3 linked regions of the Oryzias latipes genome follow. The protein of the gene in region 3 purifies or fractionates together with the protein of the main gene of each other region. This does not show direct contact. Links are inferred from orthologs where the notes say so. Each region holds a gene or a part of one and is shown on either strand. Other genes may lie near its edges. The genes, in order: rnps1, pnn and epb41l3.

Evidence for each region.
Region 1: the proteins of epb41l3 (region 3) and rnps1 purify together in Homo sapiens (co-immunoprecipitation; 3 studies listed by BioGRID and IntAct, with this or other methods). This does not show direct contact. The link is inferred for Oryzias latipes from reciprocal best matches to the Homo sapiens genes EPB41L3 and RNPS1.
Region 2: the proteins of epb41l3 (region 3) and pnn purify together in Homo sapiens (co-immunoprecipitation; 3 studies listed by BioGRID and IntAct, with this or other methods). This does not show direct contact. The link is inferred for Oryzias latipes from reciprocal best matches to the Homo sapiens genes EPB41L3 and PNN.

What each region holds. Positions count from the first base shown.
Region 1 is NC_019866.2:11,022,947-11,031,017, forward strand, and holds rnps1 (RNA-binding protein with serine-rich domain 1), read right to left. Parts: upstream 4,363-8,071; 5' UTR 4,271-4,362; coding exon 4,269-4,270; exon of another isoform or gene 4,202-4,268; coding exon of another isoform or gene 4,200-4,201; intron 3,688-4,199; coding exon 3,553-3,687; intron 3,448-3,552; coding exon 3,271-3,447; intron 3,181-3,270; coding exon 3,075-3,180; intron 2,821-3,074; coding exon 2,667-2,820; intron 2,575-2,666; coding exon 2,433-2,574; intron 2,315-2,432; coding exon 2,209-2,314; 3' UTR 1,925-2,208; downstream 1-1,924. Other genes in the region: arf-GAP with dual PH domain-containing protein 1, read right to left, coding at 1-30; uncharacterized protein LOC101174749, read left to right, coding at 6,931-7,569, 7,663-7,764, 8,017-8,071. UniProt on the Homo sapiens protein: Part of pre- and post-splicing multiprotein mRNP complexes. Auxiliary component of the splicing-dependent multiprotein exon junction complex (EJC) deposited at splice junction on mRNAs.
Region 2 is NC_019880.2:19,632,135-19,639,944, reverse strand, and holds part of pnn (pinin), read right to left. Parts: intron 6,778-7,810; coding exon 6,706-6,777; intron 5,861-6,705; coding exon 5,791-5,860; intron 4,585-5,790; coding exon 4,490-4,584; intron 3,150-4,489; coding exon 3,074-3,149; intron 3,005-3,073; coding exon 2,849-3,004; intron 1,469-2,848; coding exon 1,330-1,468; intron 1,202-1,329; coding exon 60-1,201; 3' UTR 1-59. UniProt on the Homo sapiens protein: Transcriptional activator binding to the E-box 1 core sequence of the E-cadherin promoter gene; the core-binding sequence is 5'CAGGTG-3'. Capable of reversing CTBP1-mediated transcription repression.
Region 3 is NC_019875.2:4,932,131-4,940,181, forward strand, and holds part of epb41l3 (band 4.1-like protein 3), read right to left. Parts: coding exon 8,021-8,051; intron 7,847-8,020; coding exon 7,628-7,846; intron 7,367-7,627; coding exon 7,279-7,366; intron 3,979-7,278; coding exon 3,934-3,978; intron 3,401-3,933; coding exon 3,248-3,400; intron 1,901-3,247; coding exon 1,803-1,900; intron 1,400-1,802; coding exon 1,224-1,399; intron 1,111-1,223; coding exon 932-1,110; intron 586-931; coding exon 1-585. UniProt on the Homo sapiens protein: Tumor suppressor that inhibits cell proliferation and promotes apoptosis. Modulates the activity of protein arginine N-methyltransferases, including PRMT3 and PRMT5.

The sequences.
Region 1 (8,071 bases), on a different chromosome or scaffold from region 3:
CCGTCTGAGACTTTCTGGTCCCAAAGCCATGATTTAGATTTCGATTAGACTCCAAAGGTTCTTATGAACAAGAAGACGGAGATCACAGAGCGCGCGTTGAAACAGCTACCACAGCACTGTCATTGTAACTGTGGGGAGGCTAACCACTGATGCATGCTCTGCTGTTGATGCTCCAAAGAAATACACATGCAATCCTCTGCCCCTACATGGAATGAGACACCTAGTGGTTGTTATGGTAAATAAAGGGCACAACTTCCCAACACATTTTTATCTTTGTTTTATAAGTTTAGTTAATATTTTGGAATACTTGACCCTTGTGTGGTGTTCATATTGTTGTTACTCAGCCAGTGTTCGTGGGTCTGGTGGACCCGTTGCATGTTGTGGTTTTTAATGCCTCACAATCAAACACTTTGATGTTAAAATACTCGACAGATGTTTACCTCATCCAATTACAATCAGTTTATTTGGTTAATATTTGCCCTTTACCTTTGTTAGATCACATTCATAACTCATTATTTAAAACGTGATAAAGAAAATCAATTAAAATCAAGATATGATTGGAAACAAATTTTCAAGTGAAGCAATGGTTTTCAAAACTACTAACTTTTATTTATTTGAACAAAGAAACTGAAACCATTCAGGTGCACAACACAAGCTGAACACAGAGTAAACCTATTGTCAAGACAACACATCAGCCCCATGTAAGGGCTTCTAGCCACTAGCCTTTACAACACATGGTCCTGGCTGCTGACAGCCTGGTCCTGGCTGATGGCTTTGTTTTGGAACTGGCTGATGCTCAATCTAAATGGTATGGCTTATACTTATATAGCGCCTTTCTTCCTACAAGGACAAAGCGCTTTACAGTCACGGACCCATTCACCCAGTCACACACACATTCACTCACACATTCAGACACTGGTGGCGGCTCCGCCAAACACAGGCGCCCGCCAACCACCAGAGGCAAGGTGGGGTTCAGTGTCTTGCCCAAGGACACTTTGACTCATGGGCCTGCAAGGCGGGAATTGAACCTGCAATCTTACGATCAGGGGTTGGCCACCCTACCGCTGCACCACGGCCGCCCCAATCTAATCATCTTCTCCAGAGTCACTGTCAGACTCTGAATTTTCAGAAATGTGATCCTCCAATTCTGAAACCTCCTCTTCTGAATCGTCTCCCTCTACATCATCATCGAAAACGTCTCTCTCTTCTAAAATCAATTCCAGGGCCCTCTGCGCAGAAAGTCTTTTGGCCATTTTGATCAGTTGTGATGAGAAACCACACTGGCAAAGCTATATTTATAGTGTCCCGCCTCCAATTTGTAGCAGATCTTTATCTGCTATGTGAGATATTAAAGATTCCCGCAAGAAAGTCAAATGATCAAATGTGCGGGAGAACGAGAGCAAACAGAGTTGATGCTTGAATTATTCTAACAATGTTGCAACCTTGTGCGGGAACCGCAGGTGCAGAAACAGAACTCACATTTACAGTGAATCTTTCTCTCTCTGCCACTCTCTCTCTCTCTTTCTCACTGGTCACACACACACACACACACCCACACACACACACACACAGCAGGCCCAGACAGGTGGAGGACAGAGTGTAGGTACATAAAAACATCAATTTCCACACTTCTATTAGCCCTGGGTCCAGTGGACCCGAACATCTTATATGTAATAGAAATGTGTTGGGGGGGGTATACGGTGTGTGGTCATTAAAAATGTATTCTGATATCTGTTCTTCACAGAAAATGAGCCAAGGCCAGTGAGTCTGAGTTTGAAAAATTAATTAATTGTATCATTTTTCTTTTGATAAAAAATGAAAACGGGTCCCACAGACCCGAACACCACATAAGGGTTAAAAGTATTTTTGTGACTAGAAATCAGAATAATAGTTGAGCCGGATCACAAGATGACAGAAATCAGAATCAAGATGTTTCATAGGTTTTATTCTCAAAATTCTTCAAAAAAAAAAATCAACTCGAATGAAGGAATCACAAAATCTTGTTAGATGTCATCAGACATAACATAAAAACTACAGTCAATTTTCAGCACAAAATTTAAAAAAAAAGAAAGAATTTTTCTCGTCTCCTTGTCACTACGAACTCAGCTAAATTTACTGCAATTTATATAGATCCTTTGTGTCCGAGGAGCCAGGAAATGCGAAAACTGCAGCTGATCTGCGGCGAGTATTTAGAGTAAAGACAACTTTCTATCTGGAGGAATTTGAGCTTGAACGAGAGCGATGGCGCCTGCGGCCAGGAGACCTAGAGCGAGAGCGGCGACGTGGTGGCGAGCGCCTCCTTGGGGAGCGTGATCTAAACAGGCACAAAAAAAGGACGAGCATCAGTAGGTGGGAGAAGATTCCGTTTCAATGGACCGCATAATAAAACGTTAAAAATATTAAAAAGGTACAAGTGAAAGCTTTTAAATAACCTTCTTCTCATGCGTGGTGGGCTGCGGCGCCACATCGGTGGAGGTGGCGGCATTCTTCGAGGAGGAGACAGTCTACGTGGAGGACCACGGATCAGCTGAGTCAGCACAGCAGCTGCAGTGATTTCCTGCCCGTCAATCTGACCTAAAAAAGTCATCAGGAAGGTTTGTTTTTACCTGACCAAGTTTATGTTCGTCAATATGATTTCTCCAGCCCCTTAAATGATTCTTTCCTACCTCCATCCATGTGTTTAAGAGCTTTCTGGGCTTCTTCAGGGGTCTCAAACTCCACGTAAGCAAAGCCTTTGGTCAGGTTTGGGAAGAGCCTTTCCACCGGCATGTCAACCGCTTTAATTTTTCCATATGTAGAGAAAATCTCCTGGATGTGTTCCTAGTAAATTGAAACATACATTTAGTTTTTAACCATTATTTTGTGAAGGATTGTTCCATTAAAAAAAACTAAAAACAAAATATTTAGCTTTTTATTTAATTCTTGCAGTTTTAGGCGCACATCTTGACAGACAATAAACATAAAGAATATTTCATTCTAACTAGTTATCATGAAAAATAAGATCTGCTTTTATTGAATTAGAATTTTTTTTTTAAAAATCAAAGATTTAGCTTTTGTTTGTTTTTTTAGCTTGCCTTGGTTACATTCCTGGTCAGCCTTCCCAAGTGAACCTTTGTGGGTTTAGGGGTGGGACTTCTTTTTCTTCGTTCTCTTTCTTCTCCTCTCTTCTGTGTTTTAGAACTGCAGGATAAAAAATTACAGAATAAATATTGTCAATATTTTTGAGATACAATATAAATATTTGTCTCATGTCTGAGAAAATGGACTGACGGAGATCGTGAACGGCGTCGGTTGTCATGGCGTCTGCGGCTGGGACTTGGAGAGGCCGAAGAGCTGGAGGAGGAGGAAGACCGAGAGCTAGAGGATCCGGAGCGACTGGAAGAGGAGCTGGAACCACTTGAAGAACCAGAGCTAGAACCAGAGCTGCTGCTGGAGGATGAGCTAGATCTAGATGTGGAAGGTCAAAAACAAACAATGATTTAGTTGGGAATGAACATCCAGGACAGGATGCTATATTATATTTTTAAATATAAGAAAGAAAAAATAGCTCACCTGCTGCTGCTGCCTGATGAAGCACTGCGGCGTTTCTTTGCTTTGTCGCGACCCCTTTCCTTGTCTCCTTCCTTTATTTTTTCTTTTTCCCTGTTTTTCTTTTCATCTTCCTTTCGCTTTATCGGTAATGGTGCCCTGATGTGGCGAGAAAGCACATAAATTAGAGACCTAGAAACCTAAAAAAGTGATTATGTCTAGGTTTATGTAAAGGATTGTGATTTATGTTTTTATTGGATAGAGAGAAACAGCCTTAAAATGTGCTAGATACAAATTTTTTGCACCAAAAAGGTCATTAATTAAATTTAACTCGTTAATTACTTGAATATATATAACTTTTTCATTTCATTTTTATCTAATTAATTCAAAATTGTTTCGGTGTTTTTTTTTTTTTTACCGACATTTAACATGTGCACAATAAATTGTAATTATTTTAAGCTTAATTCCAAATGTTTAGGACCGTAAATTACATAATATTTTCCCTTACACTAATATTTTCATTCAGAAAAAAAAAAACCTTCTATTTGGACTCGTTCCCTCGTTGTTTTTTTTGAGCACAACAAGGGACTAAACTACACCCGCGTCGCGGTTAAACGACTTCTTCCTTTATAAGGAACTTTCGCGCAAAATAAAAAAGCCTCCGAACTTACATGTTTAAATCAACAAGTTCCGCTATTAAAGCTATTTAGATCGAAAATACGTAAAAAGGTTAATCTTACATTCCAACGGCCAAAAATGGCTTCACTTGCGGTCTGGTGTGAGGTCGCGAAGTGATGATGAAAGCGGATGTTACGTAATTTTTTATTTTAACTTTAAACAAACGCACACACAAAAGCTACAACAGAAAAAAAGAAAAAAGAAGAAAATAGAAATAAATAAATAAATAAAAATAATATAATTGTAGTTTACAATACAAGGGATTTTCATACAACGCGTGATCTTCAATGAAAATAGACATTTTATTGCATTTTTGCTTTTTATTAATATCAGAGATTTTTAATATAAACTGATCTCAATATGAAATGTATTGAATAATGGTTTTGTTTTTGAAAATCTGCTCTCATCAATGAAAAATTTCCCAGATATTAATAAAGTATTGAATGTCAAATCAAATATATTATCAACAGAAACTACTCCAAATAATATGATCTGCTTTTGTAATTGAATATAAATAGGAAAGGGAAACTTTGAGGAGCAACAAGAAAAGAAATTCTCCCAAAAACTGTTAACATATATACATTCAAAAAAACAGATGATCAAGTGTTTCTATATTTATGTCACAGAAAGAACAGTTATTTTCTGGAAAACCAAAACGTATATGTATAGTAGTTCCTTGTATGGATAGACTGCATACATTATTTTAAAATGGATTTCTTTGTATTTTGGAAAAATTTAATATTTAGTAAATTCAGATCTTAAAACGATATATATATATATATATATATATATATATATATATATATCGTTGTTGTTTTTTTTTTCTTGCCAACTTTTTTTGTAAACATACACGACACAAGTGTGGATGAATGAAAAAGTTATAATACAAATCCATGCAGACCTTACATATAGTCACAGCACTGGAGCATCGCATTTTGAGTTATTGTTGCAATTTTTTAAATATGTACAGTCTAATCAAAAGATTTTTAATAAATATTACAATTCCAAAGTAGGTGACTGAGTTTTTGGGTTTTCTTTCACAGAATGTTAACAAACTTTAATATATTTTACAATGTTAAATATCTTGACTAGTATTATTCTGTGCAGAAATTGAGAGGAGATATCGCTCATCTTGTCATTAATCAACTATTTCTGATGCAATGAAAGTTCTTTCCATAGCAAGTCAGAGACAAAAGTATTTCACTAAAAGACAACAAAATGTTCTGAAATAACATCTCGTTGAAACAAGGCACATATGACTTTGTTATTCTCCTGAGTAAATTTGAAACAAGATTTTCCAACAGGGGTGTAACTGATTTTCTCTTTTCATCTTCTTTATTTTATGGTGTTGACATTTAGACTTCGAGTCCATAAAAATATGTATTACTATATGTTAGATTAAACTCCTCAGTTCTAAACAAATGTCCTTTTCTGTCAAGGAACTGACCCATATTATTGTTGAAATTATTATGACAAAAAATATATATTTGTTTTAGTAAATGATGTATTTCTTAGTCCAAATAAATAAATTATAAGTGAGGGGTGTTTATAAACAAGTGCCCAGGAAAGAAGTGTCTGTCAAAAGCAGAATTTTATAGTCATTTTGACAATGTTTTCTTTGTCACAGACAACTTGTTTGTTTGTTTGTTTGTTTGTTTGTTTGTTTGTTTGTTTGTTGACACCACAGTTACAGAATATAAAGCCACTCAAAATCCCCTTTGCAAAGGTTTGAACTTTCATGCAGACTCTTGTGTGATGTATTTCTTTTCCCCCCTGCACATTCAATTTGTTGGTGTCCTTAACCATCCAAACCTGCAACATCAGCTTAATTATATTTGTTGAAGTAAAACTGAACCATAATTATAAGTTAATTCTCATTTCTTACCAGTGTGATTCAGTTCGTCGCTAGATTATGACGAAAGCGGAAGTTACGTTTGTAAACGGGTGCCACTCACAACTTCATTTGTTTTTTTAAGGTGTTATGGACGTTAGCAGCTTGCGTATTCGGCTGCTGCATAGCTATGCAAAGGGGACCTAGTTACTGTGGTGCGTGAATTACGCTGCTCGAATTCGAAGCACGGACATTGCTTCCTTCGTTTCTTCAGGTGAGCGTCCCACTTTACAACAGCGGAGGTTGTTAGCTCTAGTATCTAAGCTAATGTTATAACTCAACCGTTAGAAACAGGTGTGAAAACATTGCAGTTACCTATCATTTCAAGAACAACTGTGATATTAACTGTTTATATCCATATATCGTCTATTTAATGATGCAATCCTTATTTATGCGTTATGGCCACGTTTTTTACGTGTAACTTAACTTAAGCAATGAGACACTTAGGTTTTAAAGTAAACTTTATTGATACTAAATCAAAACAAACAGCCTGAATAAACAACGATTCAATTTTGATATTTTATGATTATCGTTAACAGAGTAAACACCTCACGTTAGTTTATCAAATATTTCAAGATAGAGTTAAGTAGTGAAATGTATTATTGTAAAAACAAGGGAATAAATTAATCAAGAATAAACTCAGTAATAAAAATTAACGAAATAAAACAAAAAGGAAAGCAGGTTTTACAATTTTCAAAGTAAATGTATGATATTACAAGGTTAGTACATATGAAATGGACAGAATTTTGAGAAAACTGTTTAGAAAAGGTTGAAAACTACTGAACATTTATGACAGTGTTTTTAATCCTCTAGAGATCATTCCGTTGCAGACCATGGGTCGGCTGGATGATGCAGCAAAATACAAAGTCGTGGAGCTTCGGAAGGCTGGACTTAGTTTCCGTAAGATCAAAGCTGTACTGGAGCTGGAGAACATCAAAGTTTCAGCACAAGCCATATACCTCTACCTGAGGGAGTTTCAGGGTAGACCACCAGGGAGGGTCAGACCTGCAGAAGCTGGGGGGAGCCCTTTGGTTGCTCAGGCTACACCTAGATCTGGAGCTTTGCATGAGAGCTGGAGCAATAACCGTCTCCAGAATCGAATGCACGAGCCTCCTCATCATTCAGGATTTGCAACTGCTTCAGGTTTCCCCAAGCAGTCCTCCACAAATTCCGAAACAAGTGGAAATGCATCGAGTTCTGTGGAGAGCAGCGGAAGCAGCCGACTAGAGCAGCAGCAGCACGGGGAAAATAAAGAAGAAAACGACATTCAGATTGTAAGTGTCACTTCTCTTGCCCAGCAAGAAGAGAAAAGAGTTCCTCATGCTGGAAACACAGTAGAGGCTTCTGCTTTCTCCACTTCAACAGCTTCAAATGTACTCATGAGGAGAAGAGTCACACCTTCACCTGCAACAAGTTCAATATTGGCAGCTCGAAGAAGACTTTTGGATAAAGCACTGTCACACAAAACAAAGGTGCACAAATCCGTTTATGTCCACTTTTATCATATCTGGGTCATTTGAAATCTACAAATGTGTCAATTTCTTCTCCAATTTGTTCTTCAAAAGGTGTTATCGTTGTTGAGAAAAGAACCCTCAAACGTACAAAGTTCAGATCCGAAGGGTTCGCTCTCACAGTTACCTGACACCTACGATTTGACCACGGAAAAGGTGAGAACGCAGCCCACTCAGAAGCCGTCACTTGCATGTTATTCTCTAGATGTTGCATTGTGTGTTCTTGAGGCCTCACAAATTTCAGTTGTGTTGTTCTGTTTTTGCACTTGATTGGTTTTAATCCAATTTATCCATTTGTAAGAAGGTGCATTCACAAGCATGTTTTGTCTAATAAGTCTGGTCTGATATTTTAAGAAGATTTTCATGTGTTTGTTTTGTTTATTGGCCTATTTTTTCCAAATCTCACAGCCTGTTATCAATGGTCAGCTCGGAGGAGACGGATCTTCCCGAAGCTTCACTACAC
Region 2 (7,810 bases), on a different chromosome or scaffold from region 3:
GGACGTCTGTTTACCATTCACCGTTAATTTTTTTCTAAAAATCAGAACCTCGCATCACATCAGCGTCTCTTGTCCTTCCCATCTCTATCTTTATGTTCCCCTTCGCTCCGTGAAGACCTGCCTCTGCCTTCTTCGTTCCTCCTCTTCTTCTCCTTTGATTCTTTGGAGTCCTTTCCTCTACTACTCCTTCCTCCCTTGGTGCTCTTCCTCTCCTCCCTCTTCTTGTCTGTACCTTTCTCTGATGGCCGCCTCTTGTGGTTGCCACCATCTCTACCGCGGCTGTGACTGCTGTTAGAGGACGAAGATGATGAAGACGAGGAGCGGCTGGATCCAGAAGAAGAGGAGGAACTTCCACTTGAAGAGGAGTCTGACGAGGACCCGGAGGAGGACGAGGAGGAGCTTTTACTGCGGCGTCTACTTGACTTGGCCTTCTTCCTCCCCCTGTCACCATCACCATCATCTTTTTTAGGGCTGACGACAGGGGCCTCTTGGGAATTGGGCACCGGTTGCGGGGCCTCAGTTGATTTGAGCTCCTCTGCCCGATTCTCATTGGCAGAGTCCTGGACATCAGCTGTGGATGATGTCTGGGCTTCTTGGGCTGCATGTGCGTTCTCTGTCAGAGGGGGCTGCTCTGGTGGACCCTCTACAGCGAGGCTGGGTTGGGGCTGATCTGCTGCTTCTTGGCGGTTTTCCCTCGGTTTAGAAGCCTGGGTTTCTACAGGTTTCTCTTGTAGGTCTACAAACCCGTGTCTGCCATCTGTTTTGACTTCCTTCATCTCCTCTTCCTTCTCTGCTTCTATTTCCACCTCCATTTCCTCTGACTTTGGGCTTGCTTGCTTCTCCTCTTTCTTCCTCTCCTCCTCAGCTTCTTTTTTCTCACTTCCTTCCTCTCTAAACTCCATCCCTTCCTCCTCTTCTACTTTTTCTAATATTTCCTTGTTTCCCTCCCCATTATCCCCTTCTATCACAATTCTATCTCCTTCCCTCTGACCTTCCTCATCCTCATCTTCCTCCTCCTCCATCTCTGCGACACTCCTTTTACCTGTCAACTTGGCTGCCTGACCTGCTGGCTTACCCTCCGCCGGATGGTCCATCCTTGCGGCAGTGTTGGTGTCCTGGTCGCGGTTTATCTGGCGCCGGGGACGTGACTCCATCTTGTTGAGTTGCTCAGCAAAAGCTTCACGCCTTTCCTCAAACACAGCTGTGGAGAAAACGGTAAAGCCAAACAGGAAAAAGGTCACGTTATTTGCCTTCTTCAAATAAATAATCTCATTCTGTAAATTTAAAAAAAAAAAGCTTCTTTCTTTAAAAAAAAAAGACCAGACTGACCATTTAGTTTCTTGGTGGACTCTTCGAGGAGTTTCTGTGATGCGGAGCACATTTTTCCAGGAAGGTAGAAGATGTGAGGCTTGGTCTTTGTGCGAATGAATTTCAACAGGTTGTTGTTGTGGCTGGTCCACTCCTCTTGCTGGTATTTGGAGAAGATGGGATAGACATTTATAATCATCTGTGTTTTTTATATTTTACTAAAAACTAAGAACAAGCAAGTACCTGCTAGTGGAGTAACAAAAAAAAAAAAGTCTTTATAACCAGTATATAAAAAAATCTGTCACATAAACAACTACTGTACTTGTCAGAGTACAAGTCGCGTTTTTTAGCAGTTTGGCCTCAGTTGCAACTTAGTGTATTCAGACTAGGAAACAGTTTGTTCCAGACCCAGTCCGCATCATGTGGTCCGGATCGAGCACTCAACCTTGCGTTTGCTCTGTATTCAGACTGCCGTCAAGCGGCCTTTCCTGATTCCAACCAAAGCTAGTAAACAAAACCATGTGAATAAAATCTCTTCACTCACTGGTCAGGATTTAGGAAGGCGGAGCAAGTCAACTATACTGCAGTCCTTCATTCAAACTTTATATTTTGCTGAACAATTTTAAATGCCTGTTTCAACAGACAACACTTTATACTGCTGCTTTGATCTGGTGGAGGCATACTGCAATGCAGTAGAAGACGTCTAAGAAGCTACACTGATAAATGTTTGACACAGATTGTAGGGAAAACGATGAGAAGCAATGTGTATTATGTTAAAAAATTAACTTAAACCTGCATTCATCTGATCACATTTTAATGAATTGCAGTGTCTATGGTGTCAATGGCATCGTTTTGAGGAAAAGGATGTCGTCACATTAGCTCATGCCGTGTAACGAGACACAGAAAAGAGTGTAAAACACATTTTTAGCTGTGTTCAAATAAACCTAACAAGGAGTTGGATCCTTTTTTCCCTCTTTGATAATGCGACAATCGTTGCTCCACATTTGTCCGCGGCGCATCTGTTGCTACATTCTAAATGTGTTTACATGACGTGACCACAGGCTACGGTGGCCTTTTGGTCCAGTTGTTCCACTCCAAGGACAGATTGTATTTAGACTGAGGAATCTCACAGCAAACCGAAGCCCAGTCCGATTGGAAACAAACCGAGACCACCTTGAAAGGTGGGTAAGGGTGCGGTTCCTGGTACCAGTCCCGGGGTTCGCTTGGATGTAATCAGACTCAAAACTTGTTCAAGAGAAATTTCACAAGAATTGCTTCGACATTATCAAATAAAAATTATAAATCAATAGATATCAAATAAATAAAAAAAGACTAATGTTTGTGTTGATGCTTTTTATCTTCGTTATGGTTATTGTTGTCTTTAATTTTGCTCTTGTCTCAATGTTCTGATGCATTCATGCCGTTAGCCATAACTTTTATAGACTCTACAATACTGTATAACCAATTGTAAAAACTTTGAAAGATGGAAAAGCATCTCTTGTCTTTAAAACACATTTTACTTCTTATAAATTAGCCTTACCAGCTGAGCTAATTCCACTTTTTGTTCCAGAAGTCTCAGCTCTGTCTGCTTGGCTCTTCTCTCCTCAAACAGCTCTCTCCTTTCATTCTCTACTTTCTTCTTCTCAGCTTCAGCCTGAACTTCCAGTTTCTGCTCAATCTCAGAACGGCGTTTTTGCTGGAAGAAGCGGAACAGAATGAGCCTGGATTTTGTGTGTGTGAGATGCTTTACAAACCTGCAACTCACCTTTTCTGAAGATACGTTGGACTCCTGCTTAAATTTTTGCAGCGTACCCATCAGCAGACCAAACATGCGCCGATTTCTGAAACAAAATATGGGAGGAAATTCCAACTAGTTTAAAACCTTTGTGAAGCAATATCATAATTTTGTATTTTGTGAAATTCATATCCAAGCTTTTCTATCAGTAGCCGTGGTTACATGTGGAAAATGTTTTGATCAAATCACAGATCAGATTTCAACCCTGTACATGGTCCCAGAAAACCTTTTTCCGATTATAACATCGTATACATGGGGCACACTTTCTGTCGGAACAGATCATTTGCACTTCTCTCTAAAATACCGGAAGAGGAAAGGAGTCCCGCTGTTAACAAGCCGAGCTGCCACATACATATATGGATATGCTCGGTAATATAAGAGATGATCTTCTAAACGTGCTTTTATTATTATTATAGTTATTATGAAGCACCTGTTCGCTCATCCTTTCATTTTTAATACGTGTGGTCGGTGCCTTTTTTGTGGCGGAAGAGCTGGAAGAAGGGTTAGGAGAAGGCTAACACGCGCCAACAACATTAGCCTTGGATGAACATAAAATCCAGGGAAATGCTGCAATCTGCATCTTGGCTGCACGTAAATATGTGGGAATAACATCAATCAGCCTTTATTTTGTCGGGACACGACTGGAAAAACAAATCCACGTGATTGTTTGAACAGTTTCTAAGGACTGGGCGACATTTCTACTTTGAAATGGTCGCACGCCGCTCCAAAGCCGCTGTGAGCTGGCGGCCCGAGCTCTGCTCAGAGACACAGTATTACCGGGAGACACAGTTCTGAGTTTAGCAGCTCGTTTACCTACAGCTGCGGGACGGATCGCAGTCCGTAGTGTCCCACACATAAAGCGCACACGTAACAAAGCATCCTCCTTTCCCCTCAAACACAAAGCTATAAGTCCGGCTGCTCTGCTCAGAGACACGGTTCACTTGGTCCACCAGCAGCCAAGCCCGGACGGCGCAGGGTCCAGGGGCACGAAGCGCTCCTCGAGATGGAGGGAAGTCAGAAGCGAGGAGCCCGCGGGCAAGGGCGGAGAGCAGAGGCGTCCGTGCGTGTATCGGGCATCCGCAGAGCAGCCGGTCGGTCGGTCCTGTTTGCGTTTCAAAGCAGTCTTTGGAGGGAAACACCTTTTATGTACTATGTAAAACCAGAGCAATACTGACCAACGATCTGAATGAACCTTTTACATTCACAACGATTGGATCAACAGTCGGCATAACCCACCGATCTCGATCGGAAATAAATTTTGATCCGAACGAGTCTGATCAGGGCAGAGTATTCCGAACACATTTTTCTTCTGATCAGGCGTTCTATCCGATTACTTTTGTCCATGTAAACGCAGCTACTGTCTGAAACAGATTCATGTCAGCCTACCTCTGTTTGCCCTTCTCATCCATGGTTTGATCTTGAATAAGATCTCGGCGTGTTCTCTCTTTGGAGGTAGCTACAACAGAGGACTGCAACGCTGGCTGAAGAAAACAAGCAAATCCTGTTTTAGTCATGTTTTAGTATTCGTTACCCAAAAGTCCAAGAGTTCATTTTTGAAAACCGGTTTTGGAATCAAAACTGGTTATGATTTTATTTTCCTCGTGTAATTAACCCCATTACACCTATTGATGCGAATATGCATCAAACCACCTTGGCTCCAATAACATGATAAACAAACACGATAAAAATAAAATATGTTGGATTCTTTACAAAATATAAGCGGGACGTCACCCTTTCCTCAGTCTAAAAACGCTAACCTCTTGTTGCTCAAGGCAAGAAGGTAACCTCACTCATGCTTCAGAGAACCAGGGTTCTCAAAATTTTTTCAATATTCATTCGGTATCTAACTAAAGGATATATTGTCAGACAGGCTTACTTGAAGACTAAGAAGCACCCAGATATTTCACACGCAAAAGCCAAACCTAATATTGCATGAGAGTCTGTGTGGTCACATCCTATTCATAGGATCCGGTGAAAGAATGGGGTAATACACAACTGGCATCAACCTTGCATGTCACCCACCCAAATTCCCCTAAACAGGGCTCAAGAAGAGGCCGTTCCACGTGTGGAATGAGTCAGTATACTAGCCAGGGGTTCCAATCCCGTCACAAACAAAGATAATAGCCTCCATATCCAACATGACATAGTTGCTTCGTGGGAGGATTTCCCTTGTGCAGAGGATTTTTTTCACGGCCCACTAGTTGGCGCTCACAGACCAAGATTGGGCCCCATGGTCAAGAATCACTGCTCTAGCTGGTCACCTCAGCTGACACCCGTGTGAAGTGTAGTGAGCCGTGTGCAGTATTCACAAGGGGGACCAGAGAAGTGAATGCATCCTGGGCATGTAGCAGCAAACACAAAACAAAAGCAGAGTGGGTGCCTGCTCCAGAAATCTTGTTCCCACACGCTCACGCTCTCGACAGCAGCCTGACTGTGTCCATGGTGAGGGCAGGGTTTGGGCTCTGCTTGCCCTTTTTGGACCGATTGATTAACTCGCCCTCAAGAGCTCTCAGAGAGTATGGTTCTGGGAGTGAGAAGAGACCCACTCTTATTTATCCATCCTTCTAGAGTGGACGCCACTTTCCGTCTGCCAGCCAGGACTGGCGTAATGTGATAAAGCTTCTGAAGACAGCGAACAGAGGGGTGTGGCCCATAGTGAGATACTGAATGAACCCAGATCATTTTACCTTTTTGACATCATCGTCATCGTCGCTGTCGTGGCGCATGTCTCTCCTGGCCCTCTGGTCTCCTGCCAGCCTAAACTCGCACAGCCATGACAACAAAGAGGTAATCAGTGCAAACAGCTTTATTAGATTCTATAAAAAAGAAAGAAAAAGAAAAAAACAAAAGAAAACCCTGAAATACAGCGATTTCCCGATCCAATCACCTGACTAGAAATCGGCCCGGTCACATGGTTGATTACTCAATTGAAAAATTGGAAAATCGAATGTCTCCTAGAAGTATCAAATATTTAATTTATTTTTATTTTGATCAGCACTTTACATTTCAAGCTCACTATTACAGACAAATACTCTACTAGGAGTCTGCATATTATGAACAGATCGCAACAATTTATTGCGGTGCTAGTTTGAGTAAGAGGTGCACAAAGCTAGAAAGATGTACGGAGTCAGTCGTCTGGGATCAATGACTTCAACATTTTAAACACCTGTGGCCAGTCCAAGTGTTTAGGACACCTGATTCTAATCACTTGGATGGGTGAGCGAATACTCTTGGTAGTATAGTGTTTGAGCTACTCGCGAATACTCATATTTATGCCAAGAACAGCAATTTTTTAAAGAAAATCATTAATGTGAAATTTTAATGGGCATATGAATCACGGCTGTTCAAAAATGTTCAATAGTTCTCAAGTCACTAAAACTTAACTCAAATTTTCTCTGTGTAAGTATAAGTATCTGTTTAAGTATTAAATGATAAAAGTCCAATAAAAGAAAAAATAGGGGGGGGGGGGGGTCAGCAGATATTGGAAATCAATTGACTGTGGGCCAGATAGGGCACAAGAAAACATGACCAGGACGTCCCTACTGAAATAGCTAGAAATCCTTATTTCTAGCAGGAAAAAACAAAACAAAAAAACAAGTCACCTCAGCAAGGCTCCTTCGATGTCCCTTTGCTTGGCAGGGGGGCCGCCAGTTCCCATGTCCGAGAGACTGCGCCTGAAAGAACATATTGGCAATCAAAAAATAACTTCTCCCTAGGGGGGGGGGGACCTTATAACACCCAGATCTATGTAAGCCTTTGTTTTTCTCATCCGAGCTGGCATCTGGCCCAAAACTGTACGGTTTTGTACGACCGGATAGTAATTATCTGCAGAGCTAGCAGTAATCGGCTAAAATGCTTTCCTTTTATACGCACATTCATCGTTACAAAAGGCTGGAGGTTGTTCGTTTTCCTTAGCAAAACGCAGACACACTGCCGAGGCTGGCTCTGGGTTGACGACATTCAATGGGTGGCACCCACACGGAGCAAAAGGCCACGCCTTAGAGATTGAGTCGTCTTACTTCCGGTTTGGAAAAAAAAAGCTCAGAAAAATAACTAATATTTAATTAAAATAAAATGTTCTTTTGTGTCCCAAAGGGAATACATCATGTATATGTACACTAGATAAGGCGTAAGAATAGCGTGGTATAGGCCAGGGGTGTCCAACTCATTTTCACCAAGGGCCACATCAGGATAGTGGCTGTCCTCAAAGGGCCAGAAATAACTTTTACATGTAACTAAATGTAAGAAAAAATAAATGTAACTACTACTTAATGATAAAGAACTCATTTATTATAACTTTTTAAAGTGACAATTACAGTTGCATAGAAAACATATGTTTTCTTGATCTATCATAAATCCTTTTAAATTTGATTCTGTCAGGTTAGGTTATATTTACAGTGTTTAAGTCCTAATGTATAGGTGCCCAATCCGATATTTCAAGGCAGATTCCCCCTAGATATGAATAAATACACCAATTTTTATTTTTTATTTTAAGAAATTAAAAACTTTTATGCTCTCGCGGGCCACATAAAATGACATGGAGGGCCACATTTGGCCCCCGGGTCTTGAGTTTGACAAATGTGGTATAGGCCCTTTATGTAGTCCATTACCATAATTCAAATGAAAGCCTGGTGGGTGTGACATGATTATTAAGTATCAAGTGGCATTTCCTTATCCTATCACTTTCGATCTCATACCTAGAGCATC
Region 3 (8,051 bases):
CTCCTCTTCCTCTGAACTGTCATGGTCATGGTAGCCCTGGGCTATGGAGGCGGTCAGGGAGGCTGCCTTGGGCTCCAGGTAGCAGAGGCACAGAGCCAGGGGAAAGGAGAGGGTGAGAGCGTAGGGTACAGAGAAGGAGGTGGAGAGGAGGAAGAAGAAGATGAAGAGGAAGCAGGGAATGAGCGATGGGGACTTAATGGGCAGGAAGTTTTGCGCGCAGTGGGGGAGGAAGCTCATCTCAGAAAGGTCTGGAAAGGTGATGTAACCATCGTCATCCAGGATGGATGACAGGTGAGGCAGGTGTAGGGAGAAGGAGAAGAGCGTGCCACTGCGGCTTTTGCCCTGCTCCAGCCTTTGCTTTCGCGCCGAAAGCAAGAGCTCCTGCTCCTCCAGCAGAGCGGCTTTGCGGTCGGCGCGAGCCTGCCGGCGGCGGCACCCGATGCCGCCTTTGGCTGGACTGACTGATGAAGCCCTCTTATGGGCGCTCTCCCGGCGCCTCCGCCGCACTTTGGTGGACAGAACAGGAGATGACGGCAACGAGAGCTCAGAGCGGAGCGGGTCGGCTGTGTACGCATGAAGGGGGCGCTGATGGAAGGAAAGGTCAACCGAAGCGCGACGTGTGCGTCGGTGAGGAGAAGCAAAATGGGGAGGAGATGAATGCACACCAGCACGCACGTGTGTGTGTGTGTTGTGGGGTCAAAGGAAGGACAAGGGAAAAAAAGCAATTAGTAAAGCGTACACAAGATGAGAAGCAGTCAGACCTAACCTACAGCAGCGGCATGTAAAGGATTTTTTAAAGAAAAGAAAATTAAGAAGGTTTCCAAAAGCAAAACTGCCCCTTTATCCCACTGTTTATTTGACAGCCCCCCCTCCCAAAGTGAGAACAGCGCTGTGGGCGCCTGAATGCTGCAGAGGTGAGACGGCCGCTTACCTTTGGTTCCTGTGATGTGGCACCTGCCTCATGCGTGTCAGTGGAGTTCTTCTGAGCATCCTCCTGCTCCGTCTTCTCTTCCCTCTCTGTGGTTACCGTGGTGATAATGGCGGCGGCTTTGGTATCTCCGCCGGCAGTGCTGTCCTTCATCAGAGTGTCGTGGTTCTCTGCAATGGTAGCTGGAGCCCAGAAGGATGCAGGTATGTTAGAAATGTGAAGAGCGGTTCACGTGTGCACATGCTTCTTATGATAAGGGGGGGAGGGGGGTTAAAAGGTGCTTGGGCCGCCTCACCTCCATCTAAGCTGCGGGACATGTTGTAGCGCTTGCTGGAGGTGCGTTCAAAGAACGGCGCCGGTCGTATGATCTGGGAGCTGGCCCTGCGGGTCTGAGCCTGCGTCCTGCCGCTGTAACGGAACTTGGAGCCCAGGCTCAGGAACTTTTTCTGAGGGGCCTCTGGAGACACGAGCCTGTAACCGGTTTCAAATGTGCCCATTAATCAAACTGGAAATAACAGCAGAATTAAAACAAGCAGTGAAAAACATTGAAACTCTTCGTTAGAACCATCTCCAGGGAGCCTTCGGTGTAAACTTTCCACGTTCTGCTTAAAGCAGCAAGTCTGCATGAAGTTCTAATTAAGAGCCTAAACTCTGCCTTTCCTTCCCTACAGAGAAATCACACACAGCGACTGAATAAACTGCATGGTTGCACTTCTGTCATCACCCAAAGCCAGAAAACAGCAGAGAGCCGCGTGCACTCCCACCATCCGTCTTTCATTAACAAGGCATCCCATCCTTTCCTGTCGACCGACTTTAACCTGATGTTTTTCAATAAAGCTGCACCTGCTGCAGTTCCAAAGGGTCACACTCCTACCTGAAGAAGGTGTGGTGCTCCACACACACCTTCCATAGCCGTTTGGCAGCACGGTGGTTTGGGAGCTTGAAGCCAATTGTGCTTTCAAACTGCTCGAACTGCAAGATAGGAAAATAATGAGATCAGTTCCTGTCAAATGATATGCAGAACAGCCTGAAAACCCCATGATGTTTGTCAGATAAAGAACATTTATCAACTGCTTTTCACAAAACTAATCCAGACTTTACTCATTTTTTTAACAATTACAAGGAAAAAAGTCTGAACTAAATAAACATCATTAGACTAGTTTAAACCATTAGACTAGTTTAAATCATTAGACTAATTTAAACCATTAGACTAGTTTAAACCATTAGACTAGTTTAAACCATTAGACTAGTTTAAACCATTAGTCTAGTTTAAATCATCAGACTGGTGTAAACCATCAGACTAGTTTAAATCATTAGACTAGTTTAAACCATTAGACTAGTTTAAACCATTAGACTAGTTTAAATCATTAGACTAGTTTAAACCATGAGACTAGTTTAAACCATTAGATTAGTTTAAACCATTATACTAGTTTAAACCATTAGACTAGTTTAAACCATTAGATTAGTTTAAACCATTATACTAGTTTAAATCATGAGACTAGTTTAAACCATTAGACTAGTTTAAACCACTAGACTAGTTTAAACCATTAGACTAGTTTAAACCATTAGATTGGTTTGAATCATTAGACTAGTTTAAACCATGAGACTAGTTTAAACCATTACACTAGTTTGAACCATTAGACTAGTTTAAACCATTAGACTAGTTTAAACCATTAGACTAGTTTAAATCATTAGACTAGTTTAAACCATTACACTAGTTTAAATCATTAGACTAATTTAAATCATGAGACTAGTTTAAATCATTACACTAGTTTAAACCATTAGACTAGTTTAAACCATTAGATTAGTTTAAATCATTAGACTAGTTTAAACCATTAGACTAGTTTAAATCATTAGACTAGTTTAAATCATTAGACTAGTTTAAACCATTAGAATAGTTTAAATCATTAGACTAGTTTAAATCATGAGACTAGTTTAAACCATGAGACTAGTTTAAACCATTAGATTAGTTTAAACCATTAGACTAGTTTAAACCATTAGACTAGTTTAAACCATTAAACAAGTTTAAATCATTACACCAGTCTAAACCATTAAACTGATTTCAATTATAAGACTAGTTTAAACTATTAAACTAATTAAAATTATAAGACTAGTTTAAACCATTAAACTAATTTAAATTATTACACTAGTCTAAACCATTAAACTAATTTAAATTATTACACTAGTCTAAACCATTAAACTGATTTAAACTATTAGACTAGTTTAAACCGTTAAACTAATTTAAATCATTAGACTAGTTTAAATTATTAGACAAGTTTAAAGATACTCATTCAAACTCCTCCCATAGTTTATCTTTACCTCTCCAGGTCGTATTTTGATATAAAAGTTATTTCTCTTGTAGGAGATCTTCAGGATCTTAGGCCAGGCAAATCTGTTGATCCTCAGCTTGTCTCTGTAGATGAGGAGGCCGCTGGCACAAACTCCCAGCATGATCTCCACTCCCTCAGAGTCCTGCAAACACCACACCAGGAGAGGAGAGAAGGAAACGTCCATAACTAGACCATCTCACACAGCGTTGCTCAAAACCTTCATGTAAACATGTTTCTGTCCACACACCCTCAAATTTTTCAACTCTACAGGGAGAACGGGAAGTCCTCAAGCATTGGAGCCCAGCAGGATAAAGAGGGAATTTAAGAAAAGGTTGGTGATAATAACAGGTTTGGGCAGGCAGGCAGTGCAATCAGGCAGGTGGTCTTCTAATCACCTCTATGCACTCTGTGGTGACGCTGAACATGAATTCAAGGTGCACCTTTTAGCAAAAGCAAGTCTGACAAAACGAGGGATGTAGAAGGAAACCTTCTGGCACAACTAAGAATGATATGAGCAGTGAAACCAATGAGGAAGCGCTCATCCCAAGAACCAAGACCCGGAGTCAGGTCGAGGAACGGGATGCTGGAAAGGATACCTTTGTAACCATGCAGAAGTGGAAAAACACTCTGAACACTCACTCAGGCAGTGGAAGCACACGGAAAACAGCCTCTTACCTCCTCCTCATCCAGAGCCAAGCATTCAGAGAGACTCCCTACCAACTTTGCATTTAATGAGAGAGGAGAGAAGACAAAAGAAGGAGGCTCTTCTGATGTGCATTTAGGCTTCTTAGATATAAAAAATGATGACTCAGAGGAGCTACACCGAGCGCTGATGGTGACGCCAGTTCTGACTGATCAAAGCCTCTTCCTCATCTCTGTCATCTCACCAATCCTGATCTACATCTGAGGACTAACTCCTCCCTGCATCCACGTATTTACACCCGTTTTGCCTTTCAAAGCACTCGTTGGCATCACAGAGACCGACCATTATGACTTCGCTCCGGGATGACAGCGCTCCGTCTGTCCTTCCTGTCCGGGTTTTAGGACGATGCATTTGAAGCCGGTGGAACACAAAGAGCTCTGAAAAGCATGCTGGGCTCCAGAGCTGCACCACCCCAACCAGAGGTGGAGGTGACGGTGTGAGTCAGCGCAGCAGCATCACAACGGCAGCCATGATGTTTGTGGGACGGCGGTGACGAGCGTGGCGTCTGAATGCACCGGTGAAATGTGTTCATGTCATAAGTCACTCATGTAACATGCAGAGTAAATAAGGCATCATGGGAACCTCCACCATTAGGCTCATTTGTAAATCTTTTCACTGCTGCATTCAAGGGCGGAGTGGGGAATCGGCAGAGTCAGGAGGATTCCCGGTGGGCCGCTTCATTTATGGGCCAGTCGGTGTTAAGGGAAAATAGTCACAGTAGAATATGAATGAATCTCTGCAAAATTGACCCGTCCCTTTAGGGAATGGCATCGCCAATTTGGCAGTTAACAGCATGCACAAACATCCTTTTGCATTGCTCACAGTTGGTTGAATCCACCAGAGCGCGTCTTACCAAAAAAAAAGTCGAGTTGGAGCAGAGAAGCGGGCCTGCCGGCAGATTAACGCGCGTAAAAACGGGTAGGAAGCAAGGTTATAATAGTTTCGGATTTTTTATTAGTTTTAGTTTTTATTTCGTTTCGAATTTTTCTTTTTAAATTTATTTAGTTTTAATTAGTTTTTAGAGGCAGCTTTACTAGTTTTTATTAGTTTTTATTTTTTGAAATTGCTTCGTTTTAGTTTAGTTTTTATTAGTTTTAGTGTTAGTTTTAGTTTTTTCTTTTTTTTTTTTTGTAAATTAGGATATTTATCAGGTGCATGATTCAAAATCACCAGAATAAGTATTGTATAATAAAAACTCAATCAAAGATACATTTTGAAACACTTATTATTCAGAGGACACAAGGACAACCATCCTTAAATTAAAATAAAACAGCCGATAACAGCATTACGTTACCTGCTCTAGCTTCTTTTTCGGGGGAGGGCGGGCGACAGGCTAGCTTGTCTAGGTACTGTTGATTTGCGTTTTTGTGTGCGCTTTTTAAATGTACTTTTAGATTCGTAGGGTTTTTCCCTTTGAGGAGCGTTCCACAAATTTTGTCTCCTGCTTCGACTACAAGGCACTTACTTTAGTTTTCGACGCTGTTATATTCAAAAAAGTCCCAAATAGGACTCTCCCCCTTTCTCCCAACTTTTAATGCAGCCATCACGCTCATGTAAATGTCTATGACAACGCTAGCCGGCAGTGTCTGACAGACATCATGTGACCTCACAGACAACGTGACAACGTGATGCCGTAGGGGTCAAATACACAGTAAAACTAGCAGCGTGAAGTAAATAGATTTTATTTCAACCCAAAAGACTTATGTATTAACAAAGACGAAAACTAAGTCTTTTTTGGGGTTATTATTATTTAGTTTCAGTTCGTTTTATTCACACAACAAACAGTTTTAGTTAGTTTTCGTTTTATTAAAAACTCTCGTTTTTATTTTTATTTCAGTTAACGAAAATGTTTTTTCAGTTCTAGTTTTAGTTTTTTCGTTCGTTTTCGTTAACTATAATAACCTTGGTAGGAAGAGACTAGGCGGGGCGGAAAAGGCCAGATTAAAGAAAAGAAAGGCGTTGACTGAGGATGCTGCCAGATGTGCAAGCCCACAGGCATGTTTTCAAGAAGAGGGAAACGGTAAAGGAGATGTAACTCTAAGCCTAATTGATCATTTAACACAAAGCTAGCCTAATATTCTGATTTAAACTGGCATTGACTCTCAGACACAAGTGTGTGCACGCTGAGGTTCCGGCCCAGCCTCAGCTAGACCCCGCCTTCAGTGCCCCCAATGTAAATTGAGTTTGAGACCCCGGGTTTATATAATCACACAGTGAAATATTTCTGTTCAACCACACCTTTTTTATTATAATGATTTATTGTTATTTTTCATTACTGTAATACAATATTTATATTATGTGCTAAATTCTTGCCTAATTTTTCACGTAGCTAAACAAAGGTCGGTCTTGGCTGTAAAGTTGTTCCACGCACTCATGATGCACCACAAATGATTCTCTGCACAGCGGTGATTGCTTAGAAACAACAGAAACTTTGGTTGTTCCTTGACTCACTGCCACTTTTCTAAACCACATCAAAAGAAAAAAAAACACGTCTTCTTTCAGGAGGAGAGCCCGACGAGAAGCCAAAAGAAAACTGTCCTTTACCAGACAACCCATAGCTGTCACTTTTAGTACGTACAGTTTTTAAATCGTGGCTTTTCACTTAGAGCTGAATTATTTTTTTATTTAATGTAAGACATGAACTTCAGGAATATTTACACTCTTTCCAGGAAGTGTCCCCTCCTACTAGAGAAATGATGCTGCAACACAAACTCCAACAGTTCAGGAAACAAGCAAACTAAAGCCACTAAATGATGAGGTTTGGATGAAAAAAAACACTGTTAGCTGTTCTGCCAACACCGATCCATGAGAACGGAGACATGATCCTCAAGCGATACCAATCACACGTCACATTTCAGCAACAGCTGCACAGCGAGGACGGAGCGGAAACTCATGGAAAACATCTCAGCCAATGCAATAAAGCAGATCAACTAATGCTAAACATGAACAACATTAAGCTGTCCCTCCTCATAGTGGTCCAACAAGAGCATCCCAACATTCTTCAGATGTAGAGAAATTCATGAGAAAACGTCCCATTCTGTGTCTAATGAAATGTCAAACTGAGTAAAGGCCAGAGGATTTTCACAACCTGCAGAAGTATTCTAAATAGATTTCATTTATTTGATTTTTACCACCTTTGATGGAACTGGAAACCCCATTTCTGCTGCAGGAAATGTTGCAGAAAAAAACCAAAACATTTCTGAACAGGTGGGAAAACTGTAGCTTGCATTATTACATTTTGAAGTGATATTAGTTTTCTTTAGGCAGGAAAAGTGACTTGCAGTAATAACTTGCGTTGACTGAAGAGATTTGCTCACCTTAGCGTGATGGAGGTCCACACCATACATGGACAGCTTCTTTGCATTTTCCAGGAAGTGCATCTCTGCTTCAGCTGGCGTCATCCCCCTGATCAGACACATCCGACATAAGCAAGCCACACAAGAACTCAGGGCTCCAACTCCAGGGGACTGTGATGTTCAAAGACGCAGGACTAAGTTTAGCCAAACAGTGGTGTCAATCATAGGCACACGGTTATGGAACACACTGCCACAGGACATTAGAAACAGTGAAAACTTTCAAAACATTTCCTAAACAATGGCTGAAAACAAAACAGTCACGCAGAAACAGTGGTTGAAAAACAATGACGGAGAGAGTGAAGACACCAACTTGTAGGTCTTGTGGAGTTCCATGACCTTCTCTTCCAGTTCTTTGGTTTGGTTGGGTGCCAGGCGCAGTTCGCTGACGTAGTCACTGGCCATTTCTTCAGGGTCATAGTCCCCGAGCTCGGACTGCACCGTGTAGGAGCCCAGCACTGTGTGGGTGGCAAAGGAGCAGGGCAGGCGGCCAGACACCACATCGTCCCTCAGCTGCAAGCACAAGTAGTACCTGTGGGTTGCAGGTACGAAGGCATTAATACTTTATTTGGTTTTGTCAAAAAAGTCTGAAAAATATTCTGTGGTCGCATAAATCTTCCATTTCCTTTAAAATCACTTTGTAATAGAAAGAGATTTCTAAAGATGTAGACTGAAAAAAAACGAAAGAACTTCAACTGGGACTGACCGTGTGATGTCCTCTGAGAGCTGGGAGGGGT